Linked DNA regions of Oryzias latipes. The protein of the gene in region 1 binds, or shares a complex with, the protein of each later gene. Links are inferred from orthologs where the notes say so. Each region holds a gene or a part of one and is shown in the gene's direction. Other genes may lie near its edges.

The links.
Region 2: the proteins of ptpn11 (region 1) and pdgfrb are in contact, whole or in part, in a crystal structure (PDB 1AYA), measured with the Mus musculus proteins. The link is inferred for Oryzias latipes from reciprocal best matches to the Homo sapiens genes PTPN11 and PDGFRB. Residues at the interface, in NP_001103462.1 of Mus musculus: Gly13, Val14, Glu17, Arg32, Pro33, Ser34, Lys35, Ser36, Thr42, Thr52, His53, Ile54, Lys55, Leu65, Gly68, Gln87, Leu88, Lys89, Glu90, Lys91, Gly93, Ile96; in NP_032835.2 of Mus musculus: Ser1005, Val1006, Leu1007, Tyr1008, Thr1009, Ala1010, Val1011, Gln1012, Pro1013.
Region 3: the proteins of ptpn11 (region 1) and gab1 are in contact, whole or in part, in a crystal structure (PDB 4QSY), measured with the Homo sapiens proteins. The link is inferred for Oryzias latipes from reciprocal best matches to the Homo sapiens genes PTPN11 and GAB1. Residues at the interface, in NP_002825.3 of Homo sapiens: Gly13, Val14, Glu17, Arg32, Pro33, Ser34, Lys35, Ser36, Thr42, Arg47, Thr52, His53, Ile54, Lys55, Leu65, Gly67, Gly68, Tyr81, Gln87, Leu88, Lys89, Glu90, Lys91, Ile96; in NP_002030.2 of Homo sapiens: Lys623, Val625, Glu626, Tyr627, Leu628, Asp629, Leu630, Asp631, Leu632, Asp633.

Annotation. Positions count from the first base shown.
Region 1 is NC_019870.2:1,412,429-1,415,928, reverse strand, and holds part of ptpn11 (tyrosine-protein phosphatase non-receptor type 11), read left to right. Parts: intron 1-512; coding exon 513-626; intron 627-2,434; coding exon 2,435-2,531; intron 2,532-2,607; coding exon 2,608-2,687; intron 2,688-2,768; coding exon 2,769-2,927; intron 2,928-3,500. UniProt on the Homo sapiens protein: Acts downstream of various receptor and cytoplasmic protein tyrosine kinases to participate in the signal transduction from the cell surface to the nucleus. Positively regulates MAPK signal transduction pathway. Dephosphorylates GAB1, ARHGAP35 and EGFR.
Region 2 is NC_019868.2:16,278,139-16,281,638, forward strand, and holds part of pdgfrb (platelet-derived growth factor receptor beta), read left to right. Parts: intron 1-47; coding exon 48-170; intron 171-366; coding exon 367-478; intron 479-1,190; coding exon 1,191-1,290; intron 1,291-1,369; coding exon 1,370-1,475; intron 1,476-2,681; coding exon 2,682-2,980; intron 2,981-3,500. UniProt on the Homo sapiens protein: Tyrosine-protein kinase that acts as a cell-surface receptor for homodimeric PDGFB and PDGFD and for heterodimers formed by PDGFA and PDGFB, and plays an essential role in the regulation of embryonic development, cell proliferation, survival, differentiation, chemotaxis and migration.
Region 3 is NC_019859.2:18,118,041-18,121,540, reverse strand, and holds part of gab1 (GRB2-associated-binding protein 1), read left to right. Parts: intron 1-112; coding exon 113-241; intron 242-1,645; coding exon 1,646-1,811; intron 1,812-3,500. UniProt on the Homo sapiens protein: Adapter protein that plays a role in intracellular signaling cascades triggered by activated receptor-type kinases. Plays a role in FGFR1 signaling. Probably involved in signaling by the epidermal growth factor receptor (EGFR) and the insulin receptor (INSR).

The DNA of each region.
Region 1 (3,500 bases):
CTCACGCCGCCCCCCCCGAGGGGTTTCCGTGGAAACAATAGAATAAACAGCTGGATTGGTTCCACGTGAGAGAAGCTTGGGTTTATGTCTGCGTTAATGCAGAGTGTTTGTCCTTTTCCTGCCTCCGTTTGTTTAAAGAAAAACATTCAAATTCAACAAAAAAAACCTATAAACTTTAGAAAGTAGATGTATTTACATTTAAATGGATGGAAAGAAGGCATTCCTGCACACCTTCCCTGTGGCGGGACATTTGGTTTGCATGTTAACACCGTGTGTCGACATGGATCAGAGGATTCTTTCCTGTCGTTGACACTCGTCTGAAGAAACCAGCCAATTATCTTTCAAATAAATATATAAAAGTCTGTAAACACCAAGTTTCTGTTCACCGTTTGCATGAAACATGTCTATAATCTCTTCCTGTCTGTTCCGTAATGTCTTCATGTTCTAATGTGGCGCCGTCTTGACCTTCAGGAGCGACCTTTGCACTAAATGTTTTCTGCTGTGGTCTGCAGCCGCTCAACACGACGCGCATCAACGCAGCGGAGATCGAAAGCCGCGTCCGTGAGCTCAGCAAGCTGGCCGAGGCCACGGACAAGGTGAAGCAGGGCTTCTGGGAGGAGTTTGAGGTGAGTGGTCTGAGAAAGAGGAGCAACCTGCTTTTACTCTGAAGGCACAGGGAGCGTGCTTTTACTCTGAAATCCCACCGTAACCTCAGCGGCGGCAGCAGCACGTTTAACGGTCAGAATCATGAAGGATCTTTCTGATGTGCTTGATGAGTGTTTGTACTGGAACTCAAAAGACATTCCTCCAACGTTTAGGCTGAATCTGAATTCATCCCCTACCCCGACATTTATCCCTCCAAGACGGTTATGGAAAATCCGGACATGACTACCACTCCATGACATCATCAACGGTCGCCGGTCTCCCCCGCTGGCGTGTAGCTGCCATAATACAGTGGTTTATAACTTTAAAACGTTGTCATGGAAGCCAATACTTACATTTAGTCATGAACCTCTGTGCTTCAGAGCACACCCGCCTAAAGAAAAGCCTTTTTCCTGGCGTGCCAGCGAGACGCGGACCCCCCCCACCGGCAGAGGAATACCCAGCCGTGGGTCACTGCGGCTCCTCCTCAAAGAAACACTTTCAGACACCCCTACAGCTCCAAACGTCCCTGCAATGTCAGCAGTCTGGGGAGCCAGAGGGGAAGTCCTCATCATGTCAGAAGACTTTTATTTTGAAAGCAGATGGAGCCGGTTTCCTGTGTTTTTTTCCAGAAGTTCAGCTTCAATCACCTGAAGAAGAAGAAGTGTAGTTTTGGCTTTAGGGGCAGCAGTCTTTGTGTTATTCTAACAGATCAATAACCATGAGGAGTGATTGCTGTGCAGAAATGTCACTTCATCATTTTCTGAATTTACTTTTAAAAAAAACAAAGTATTTGGGAAAAAACTACACTCAAAAAAGGGATTCAAACCCTCTTTCATGTAACAACACAAGTAAATGCCGTTTGTTTTATTTAAATATATTTATTTTAAAAATATGTATCTATATTTAATTGACCTAACATAAAATGTATTAATAGTTTCACCTATAAACTCCAGTATTGAATAAATAAATTCATAATTAGGGGGCATGCTGTGCACATGTGCAGACTGCACCTTCTGCAAAATCATTTCTTCTGTGATTCTATTCTTTAATTGGTTGGATGCTGTTTTCCTCTTTCTCTTTATTTATTCTTCTTATAGTATCTTCCGCCGTTTTACGGCTACAATTTTTCACCTATTTTAACCATTCAACTATTAAAACGTTCAGCTCTTTCGTCTAATGCCTGCCATGACTTTTGGTCCTTCAAATCCTTTGAACTTTTGTTCGTGTTTTTCCACGTAAAAAAGGTACTGTGGCTTGGAATGGATTCAACTGGGTTTCTCCCAGTAAGATCAAAGACGACAAACCTCATTTATGTAGAAAATGATTCTGTCTTTATAGTGTTGGATGCCTGAGGCCACAGGAGAGTCGGCTCAGTGGATCAGTCTGTCTGCATGTGGAGGTTCTACCTTCCAGAATAGTGTCACACCATGTTTTTTGCTTTGTCTTCTTGATAAAATTGAGTTCGACTAACTCGATTATATTTCATTACATGGAGGAATTTTTTTGATTTGGTGCGACTCATATTTATTGGATGGAAATCCTGCCCACAATTAAATTGAGTTCATCCAATTTTTTTGAGTGTATAGACGTGTACAGATATTTGGAATAACGTCCTCAATAAACTACAGTTGTTGAAAAAGCGGCTATGATGAATAAAATAGAATAATAGAATTTGTGTTTACATGAACGTGCAGCTTCACGTTTGTGTCGGCGTTTTCTGCCAAACGCCGCTAAAGCTGTGTCCAGAAGCAGATCTGAACCTGGAGTTTCCTCTTTTCTCTGCATGCAGACGTTGCAGCAGCAGGAGTGTAAACTGCTGTACAGCCGCAAAGAGGGACAGAGGGCGGAGAACAAGAACAAGAACCGCTACAAGAACATCCTGCCCTGTGAGAGCCCCCGGCGCCGCCGCCACTCCAGGCCGCTCGACCCCGCCCTCTTCTCATCTGCCGTTTGTGTTTGCAGTCGACCACACGCGGGTGGTGCTGAACGACGGGGACCCCAACGAGCCCGGCTCGGACTACATCAACGCCAACATCATCATGGTGAGCCTCCCTCTCGCCGTCCGGCTCTGCGGGTCCGTTTGCGCTCGGGTTTGTGCAGCTTCTGGTTCTGCCGGTTTGCAGCCGGAGCTGGACGCCAAGTGCAACAGCCACAAGCTGAAGAAGAGCTACATCGCCACTCAGGGCTGCCTGCAGAACACCATCAGTGACTTCTGGAGGATGGTGTTTCAGGAGAACTCGCGGGTCATCGTCATGACAACCAAAGAGGTGGAACGAGGAAAGGTGAGGGCCGCCGACAAGTCTTCCATACATTTATCGCTTCTTTTTAGCAAAATCTTTTGGAGGCTTTCAGCTTTTTTTGACCAATGTGATCTGACCGTTTTCCTTTCTTCCCCTTTGAATTCCTTTGTGGAATATATCAATATATATAAGTATAATATCTATATAAAACTGAGCATATACAGTACATTCACAGCTTCTCATTCAGTGTGTCCAAACTTTTGGTCTGTACCGTAAATATGCTTTTTTCATTCTAAAAACTCCTTTTTGTATTAAACTTCTTTCTAATCATTGAAGGGTTTTAGATAATCTGAGTTTGTTTGACTGAATCCAAACAAATGTCTGACTCCAGGGGCCTGTTTCAGAAAGGAGGTTAAGTGTAAACTCTGAGTGCGTTAACCCTGAAATCAGGGAAACCCTGGGTTTTCCGTTTCAGAATGGGAGGTTTGTTAAACCAGAGAAAGCAGAGTAAGTCAAACCCGTTTCTGAAAGAGAGGTAACTTTTACTCGGAGTCAGTATCCATGGTTACTTATGCTGTGAACCTAACCTGGTCGGGAGCAGGTTTTATTCTCTAA
Region 2 (3,500 bases), on another chromosome or scaffold:
TCGAGGAAAGAGGAAGAATAACTCAATTTACTTTTTTTCCAATGCAGTGCGTCCATCGTGACCTGGCTGCCAGGAACGTGTTGATCTGTGAAGGCAAGCTGGTGAAGATTTGCGACTTTGGCCTGGCCAGAGACATAATGCATGATTCCAATTACATCTCCAAAGGAAGCGTAAGTCGTAATGTAATGTGTGCTACTCTGCCAAAATGAAATGGTTCTCCAGCAAAACAGCATTTTAACAAATAAGATATAAATGGTTATTACACAACAGTCAGAAAGAAGCAAAGTGGAATCTTTTAACCCTCCTGACTGTGAAAAAATGAGGTTCTTTATCATCTAAGCTGCAGTGTATTTCTCTTTCTTTTAGACCTTCCTGCCCCTGAAGTGGATGGCACCAGAAAGCATTTTTCATAATTTGTACACCACCCTGAGTGATGTGTGGTCATACGGCATACTCCTTTGGGAAATTTTCACTCTGGGTGAGTCCGACCACACGTTCATAAAGCGCACACTATTTGTACCCTCAAACAAAGTTTTCATGCATGCAGGGGATTTACACATAGCTTTTAAATAAACTTCCCATTTGATCAATTTTTAAGTGTTGAACTCAAATAATAACAAAAAACAGTGCTCCAAATGTTCCAAGTCCATGTCTGACCAAGAACATACCAGTTAGTTTAAAGACCCAAAATCCTGTTAGCTACAGTCAAGCTTTTACATTTCTCTTGCTCTAGGAAATGTATTTTTTTTCTTTTAATCCACAATAGATCTAAGGAAGCTACCATGAAACAAAGGAGACAGTTTAGTGCATTTCAACCATTAACTCCAGTCATAAAAAAACAAACTTACAATCCAGCCTCTGTAAGTGACAAAGAGTCTCTGTTTGCTTGTTGGAAGTCAGCTTTCATTTGGACTTTTATCATATTTTTCCTATAGATTTACATGTGTATAAAATGTCTTGTTGCATGTGTCCAAATGTTCACCTTTAATAACTAATTATTTTAAATTTTGAATACATTTTTTTTTATATAATGAAAATCCAAGTACTTTTAAAACATACTGGGAAAAGTGGTCATTTCTTTAAACTACACATTTGGGATTGATTATATTTGACAGAAGTCAGACTTTGTAGTTTCAAAAAAGGGTTCCTAAGTTCTGGCATAGCTTAAAACCATTCTTGTTCTTCCTTAGGAGGAACCCCCTACCCAGATTTGCCCATGAACGAACTGTTCTACAACGCACTGAAAAGAGGATACCGCATGGCCAAACCTCCCCATGCTTCAGATGAAGTGTGAGTTTTTGTCAGTTGTTAAACGTAGAACTTTTTATGCCTACAAATTATACCAAAAAAAATTACGTTTGTGACGCAGGTATGAAATCATGAAGAAGTGCTGGGATGAAAAGTTTGAGAAGAGGCCTGAGTTCTCCTTGTTGGTTCACAACGTGGGAAACATGCTGACAGACAGCTATAAGAAGGTATTGAATCCATGCTAATCCACTTAACATCAGTTATTGCTCTAATATTCACTTCTGAATCTCTAACTCTGTTGCTTTACTTTGCTTCTCGTTAAAATGCTTTAAACATAAAAAAGTGCTCAGTTAAAGACCCACTTGTGGCATTTTTCTGATAATGGATTACATGCTGTATATAAAGTAAATTAAGCTTAAAATTGCATTTCTGAGTATTTATGTATTCCACTTGTTGTGAATCAGTGTGTTGTGAATTAAAAGCAGACGCAAAATGCCACTGAAAAAGCTTGTAAGAGGGGCACACAAATAACTTTGGCAAGACTTAAGCTCCCTGCTCTGCTCCTTTCTGATGCATCCAGTCGTAGACAACTAGATCCATGTACATGTTTGTTTTCAGCTGGAATATGGCTTAAATGTACAGCGACTTAACTCTGATTTTGCTCGCCATTTTTTTCCCCGCTGGTAATGTTAGATTGGGGTTGTGAGGGGCTGTTAGCTAGCAGGAGAGAGTATAAAAAGATAGATGATGGGTAGAAGGTAGGCCTTATCCATGCCAAAATTTAGAACCTTTTTTTAAAGCAGTGAGGAGAAAACTGCTTTTGTCAGTTTGAGTGCTTTTTTTGTAACAGTCTGGAGAGTTCCTGATGTACCTGGAGATGTTATAGAAATACAACAAATAAAGTTTTTGTGTCAGTGCACATCTGCTGCAAATGCCTTCCAGAGCTGATATCCCCAAAATGAATGCTGCATTTGAGGTTCTTAATTACTGTTGCGACCCATTTGGCAAAGCTGGAACGAAGACATTTGAGGAGCTGCTTTTATGAGATCAGTGCCTAAAGCTCCTTCCATGTTCACCGCTTTCATCAGGCTGATGGAAACTTAACATGATGCTGTCATTTTAAAATCTCCGCATCTTCATCCTATCAGATCTAAAAATATACAGAATTGTTCTTGTTTTGACCCAATTATATACTTTTTTTAGAATTTAATAATCCACTTCTGCAATCCAATTCTGGGACAGCCTCTTGTTTGTTGGTCCACTCATTTATTTAAAATACAATATCCAAACTATAAGTAGACTATTACTTAACTACTATTAGTTAAGTAATTACTAGTAGTAAACTGCTATAAGTAAAAATAGAGTAAACTTTAGAAGGACTCAGCAGCTTTTGCCACATTATTCTGCTTAGCAAGCATTTCTTCCAAAAACAGAGATACAGCCAAGTGAACGAGAACTTCCTGAAGAGTGACCACCCGGCAGTGGCCCGCACCAAACCCCGCCGGACCTCGCCCTTTCCCGTCGCTGACCCCACATTTGGCTCCCTGTCTCCTGTTGCCTTCTCCTCCTCTCCCGGTCCCACAGCCAACAACCAGAGCCAGAGGCCTGGAGAGCGCAGGCACGAAGCAGACGGGCAGGAAGTCGTAACTTCATATAATGAGTACATCATTCCCATCCCGGACCCCAAACCAGAGGAAGCTTTCGGCAGCATGCCGTCAGAAAGCCCTGAAAGGTACCGGACCGCTGCAAACACTCTGCAGATGTGTGTCAAAAACATGGGGCTGCAGGGGCGATGAAAATGTGTTTGCTTTTGTCTGCCACACACCCACTCATCCAGATGTTGAACTGACACAGTAGTTTATTATAAAAGCTTCATAGAGATGTATTTTTATAACTTAAATAAACACAGGACCAGGCAGGGACTTAAATCTACAAAAACTGCTTTTTTTTAAACACAGTAGACCAAACTTCATTTTTGTGTTTGTTTTGTTCACTAAGCCTTTCTAACCCCAAACCTTGCTTCCTTGTTTGAGGTCGGGTGGGATTTGAAGCCAAAACTCATGTTTTGAGCTCAATTGGTTCGTTTTCTGATGAATGGCCACTGTGACGCCTCAGAACTGCACTTTAGTAAATCACTACAATAAGACCTCCCACATTGATCATAATAATTCTAAATTTGCATCAACAATTTTACACAAAAGTCATTGAGAAAACATGTTTATGTAACAAAATGTTCTTTGAAAATGGTTTAA
Region 3 (3,500 bases), on another chromosome or scaffold:
TGAAAATGACATAAATAAAGCTTTTGGTCAGCTTGTGGTCATCTGGGAATGAAACAGTCAGTGTGAGAACATGCGTATAACCTTTGGCCTCATTTTTGTGCTTACCCTGCAGGCATGGAAGAAGCGATGGTTTGTTCTTCGCAGTGGCCGTCTAACAGGCGACCCAGACGTCTTGGAGTATTACAAGAATGACCACACCAAGAAGCCTATTCGTGTAATAGATCTCAACTTGTGTGAGCAGGTATTACTCCTTGTTCCATGGGAAACACTCGATTTGTGTTGTGACAGTTTTGCTGTAGATGCAGTGGAGATACTTGCTACGTTCTTTTTCTTTTCTTTCTTAAATGAGGGTTTGTTTAAAGCCTGCTAGTCTAGCTTTATAGTTCATTCCACATTTTTTTACATTTATGTAAGCCATTATATTTGTGAAAATGAACACTTCTTGGGAACTTCAGTATAACTTGGTAGGTAAGGCTGTTTGTATAACTGGGGGTGGGGTGAAGGGTTGATTCGGACTTAACCAGAGATATAGTATCAATTAACTAAGCTAAATAATACACAATATAATCACTATGACTTAGAAATGACTCAAAAAACTAAAATTGCAACAGTAAAGCCTAATTTATTCAAAGTTTAATTGTGTGGCTAAATGTTTTATGGATGAAGAATGAGGGGGGGAAAACAGAAGGAAAACTTCCAAGAAATGTAGGGAAATCTTTACTTTTAGCCATTATAAAGTTGTTTACAGTATGATTATTATTTATATGTTCTATTCATTCAGTTACCTTTTCATGTAATATTGAGGACCAAAAGAATTGGCACACACGAAATAATTAAACATTTATTTTAAAAAAAATCAATAGTTGCATCATCCAGAACTAAGTTCATCATTCTAAAATATTTCAAGTAAAAAGAAAATAGTAAAAACAAACAGCAAAATGTATTAACCACTGGGTAGTTTTTAATTCTAATCATGTTTTCTCACTCCACTTTTTTTAAATACCATTTCTTAGCAGTGACTTAGTACCTGAACATAATGAAAAGGACTCCTAGAAAAACAAGAATAGAGTCTGAGTCAGAAAGTTTCTGGAAGATGTTATATCACAATGCCTAAAATGCACAAAAACCAGTGAGAATCTCTGACAAGTGATGGTAGTTAAAATGGTTCATGGTTACTTGGGAAGCTCTACAAAACATCATGGTAAAGTAAACAACCCCCAAAAAAATTAAAAAACTCAAGTAAAACCACTTGCATACAATTTAAAAACAATTTTGAAACAGTAAATGAAAATGATAAAATCATTATTTTAGCACGTGTTAAAAAACAGTCTGGGGGCAGTTCTGTTTTTTTTTCTTTCTGAATTAGGCTTAAGGAGGAAGTGTAAGTGTTGCCCTTTGCTATGTCCAGGAGCAGCTGATTAGCTGACCCAAGGGACTGGGAGAGAGGTGTGTGCCTGTAAGAGCTCAGAGTTCAGGGCAAGGCCACTGAAAGCATAAAAACAATTAAGTCTCTTAAACGAACAGGCAAAAAAACCAAGACTTGTTCACCAAACTGTATTTTTTGTTATTAACACAGATCAAACTCAGTCACCTTGATACTGAACCACTATGTTGTAAGACAAACTCTGTTGACGTCTCACCCTAGGTTGATGCTGGGCTGACGTTTAGCAAGAAGGATTTGGAGCACAGCTTCATTTTCGACATTAAGACCATCGACCGTGTCTTTTACCTGGTGGCTGACACTGAGGAAGAAATGAACAAGTGGGTTCGCCACATCTGTGACATCTGTGGTTTTAACCCCACTGACGATGGTAAGCGTTGCCCCATAAGTCGTTATTGTACTCCTAACAATTACAAGTCCTGTTACTGTTGTGTCAATGTTCGTTTCAGGGAAGTTGAATACTCTACAGTAAACAAAACTGATTATTGTTAAGCAGAAACAATGTTTTAACATTAGCTATTTTATTAATCAGCCAAAAAAAAACTTAAAAGTCAAAACGACTCCCTAACCATTTGTAATGTGAGTTAAAGAGCAACATGACATTTTTTTTTCCATTTAGCTTTCAGGATTTATTTATTTATGGGAAATTAATAACTCGCTGCTCTAAACTTGAAATCTCCTCAGCAACAGTTTTTTATTCAAAAGTTGTTGTTTGACAATACTTCTTACCATCCTGCACCAGGCCTTTTGTTAGTTTTTGGTAAAATGCATACACAAAGAGCACTGTAACAAGCATTTTTCGTCTTTTAATTGTCTGTAGTATAGGGCAAAAATCGTAATACAAAAGTCTTTATGTGAAAATGAATCTAAAGTTTTAAAAATCCGACTTTAGTTTGCTGGTGCTTTGAACATGTTTTTTTAAGGAGACCTATATGTCCAGTGATATGAGATCCTTGAACTCCTCCACACAGTCAAGCTCCACTTCTCCTAGGAACCCACCAGATGGATGACATTTTAGCTATTTTATTTTTATTGGTAAATATAATCATAGTTCTGTTGTTGTCCATTAACATGTATGAGTTAATGAGCCACTGCTGAATATTTCCAAGTTCTGCTATAAAAGTTGTAAATATTTTCTGTTTGCTATTAGCATAATCAAAGCCCCAAGTACTTTATAAGTCTTTCAGCCCTTTTTTTCTTCTAGTTCCAATTTCTCTTGCTCCTTAGCAGTAAAATGCATCAGCTTTTAAGTGAGGTTTGACATAAGGGACTGCACAGGTTCTTTTTAGAAGAGGACACTTGTCAAAGTTGTCAAGTGACTCATTGGTTATGGTGCTCTGTCATCCTTGCAGCAGCTATGCCTCAAGTTCAGGAAAAAAATACTAACATTGAGCTCCTCTTGAACAGAATTTTTCATATTGGCTCTTTAAAGACGCACAAGCTAACAGACTTTTCAAGGATAAAAATTGAGACATATTTTTTTTTTCAGATAGGCCTCTTTGGCTGTTATTGTAAAAGAATGTCCTTGGCTCTCTTTCTGTTTGCACTTCTCTGTGTGTGAGACCCAGCTCCCACTCCTCTGTAATGTGTGGCCACACTACACGCAGAGCGCTTCAGAGCCGAGCAGATATTAGAGGAAGGAACATTAGGAAAGCTGGAGGAATGGAAGCTCTCAGAGATGGTGTAGGTGGTATAGATTAGTACTTTCACACACATAAAAAAAGCATTCCCCCCTTTTTTTTCTCTGCAGATTCTTACACAAAACCTAAATAGCAAAAAGGAGCGAACACAAGTGCCGGAATTGACTAGAAATGTTTTTATTAACTCAAAACTGCTTTTGTTTTACAACAAAAAATAGGATTGCTTGGATTATAAGCAGTCATCTTTGTTCACATTTTAGGAGAACAACTCAAGCAGACATTTTTTTTAAAAGATTGGAAATATGGTAACTCTCCCTGTTACAAAGCACAGACCTTGGTGAGGAACTGTATTTATCTAGTGTGGGAAGAAAAACAACAAAACATACAGGCCAAATATCCCAACAATCTACAAATGCCAG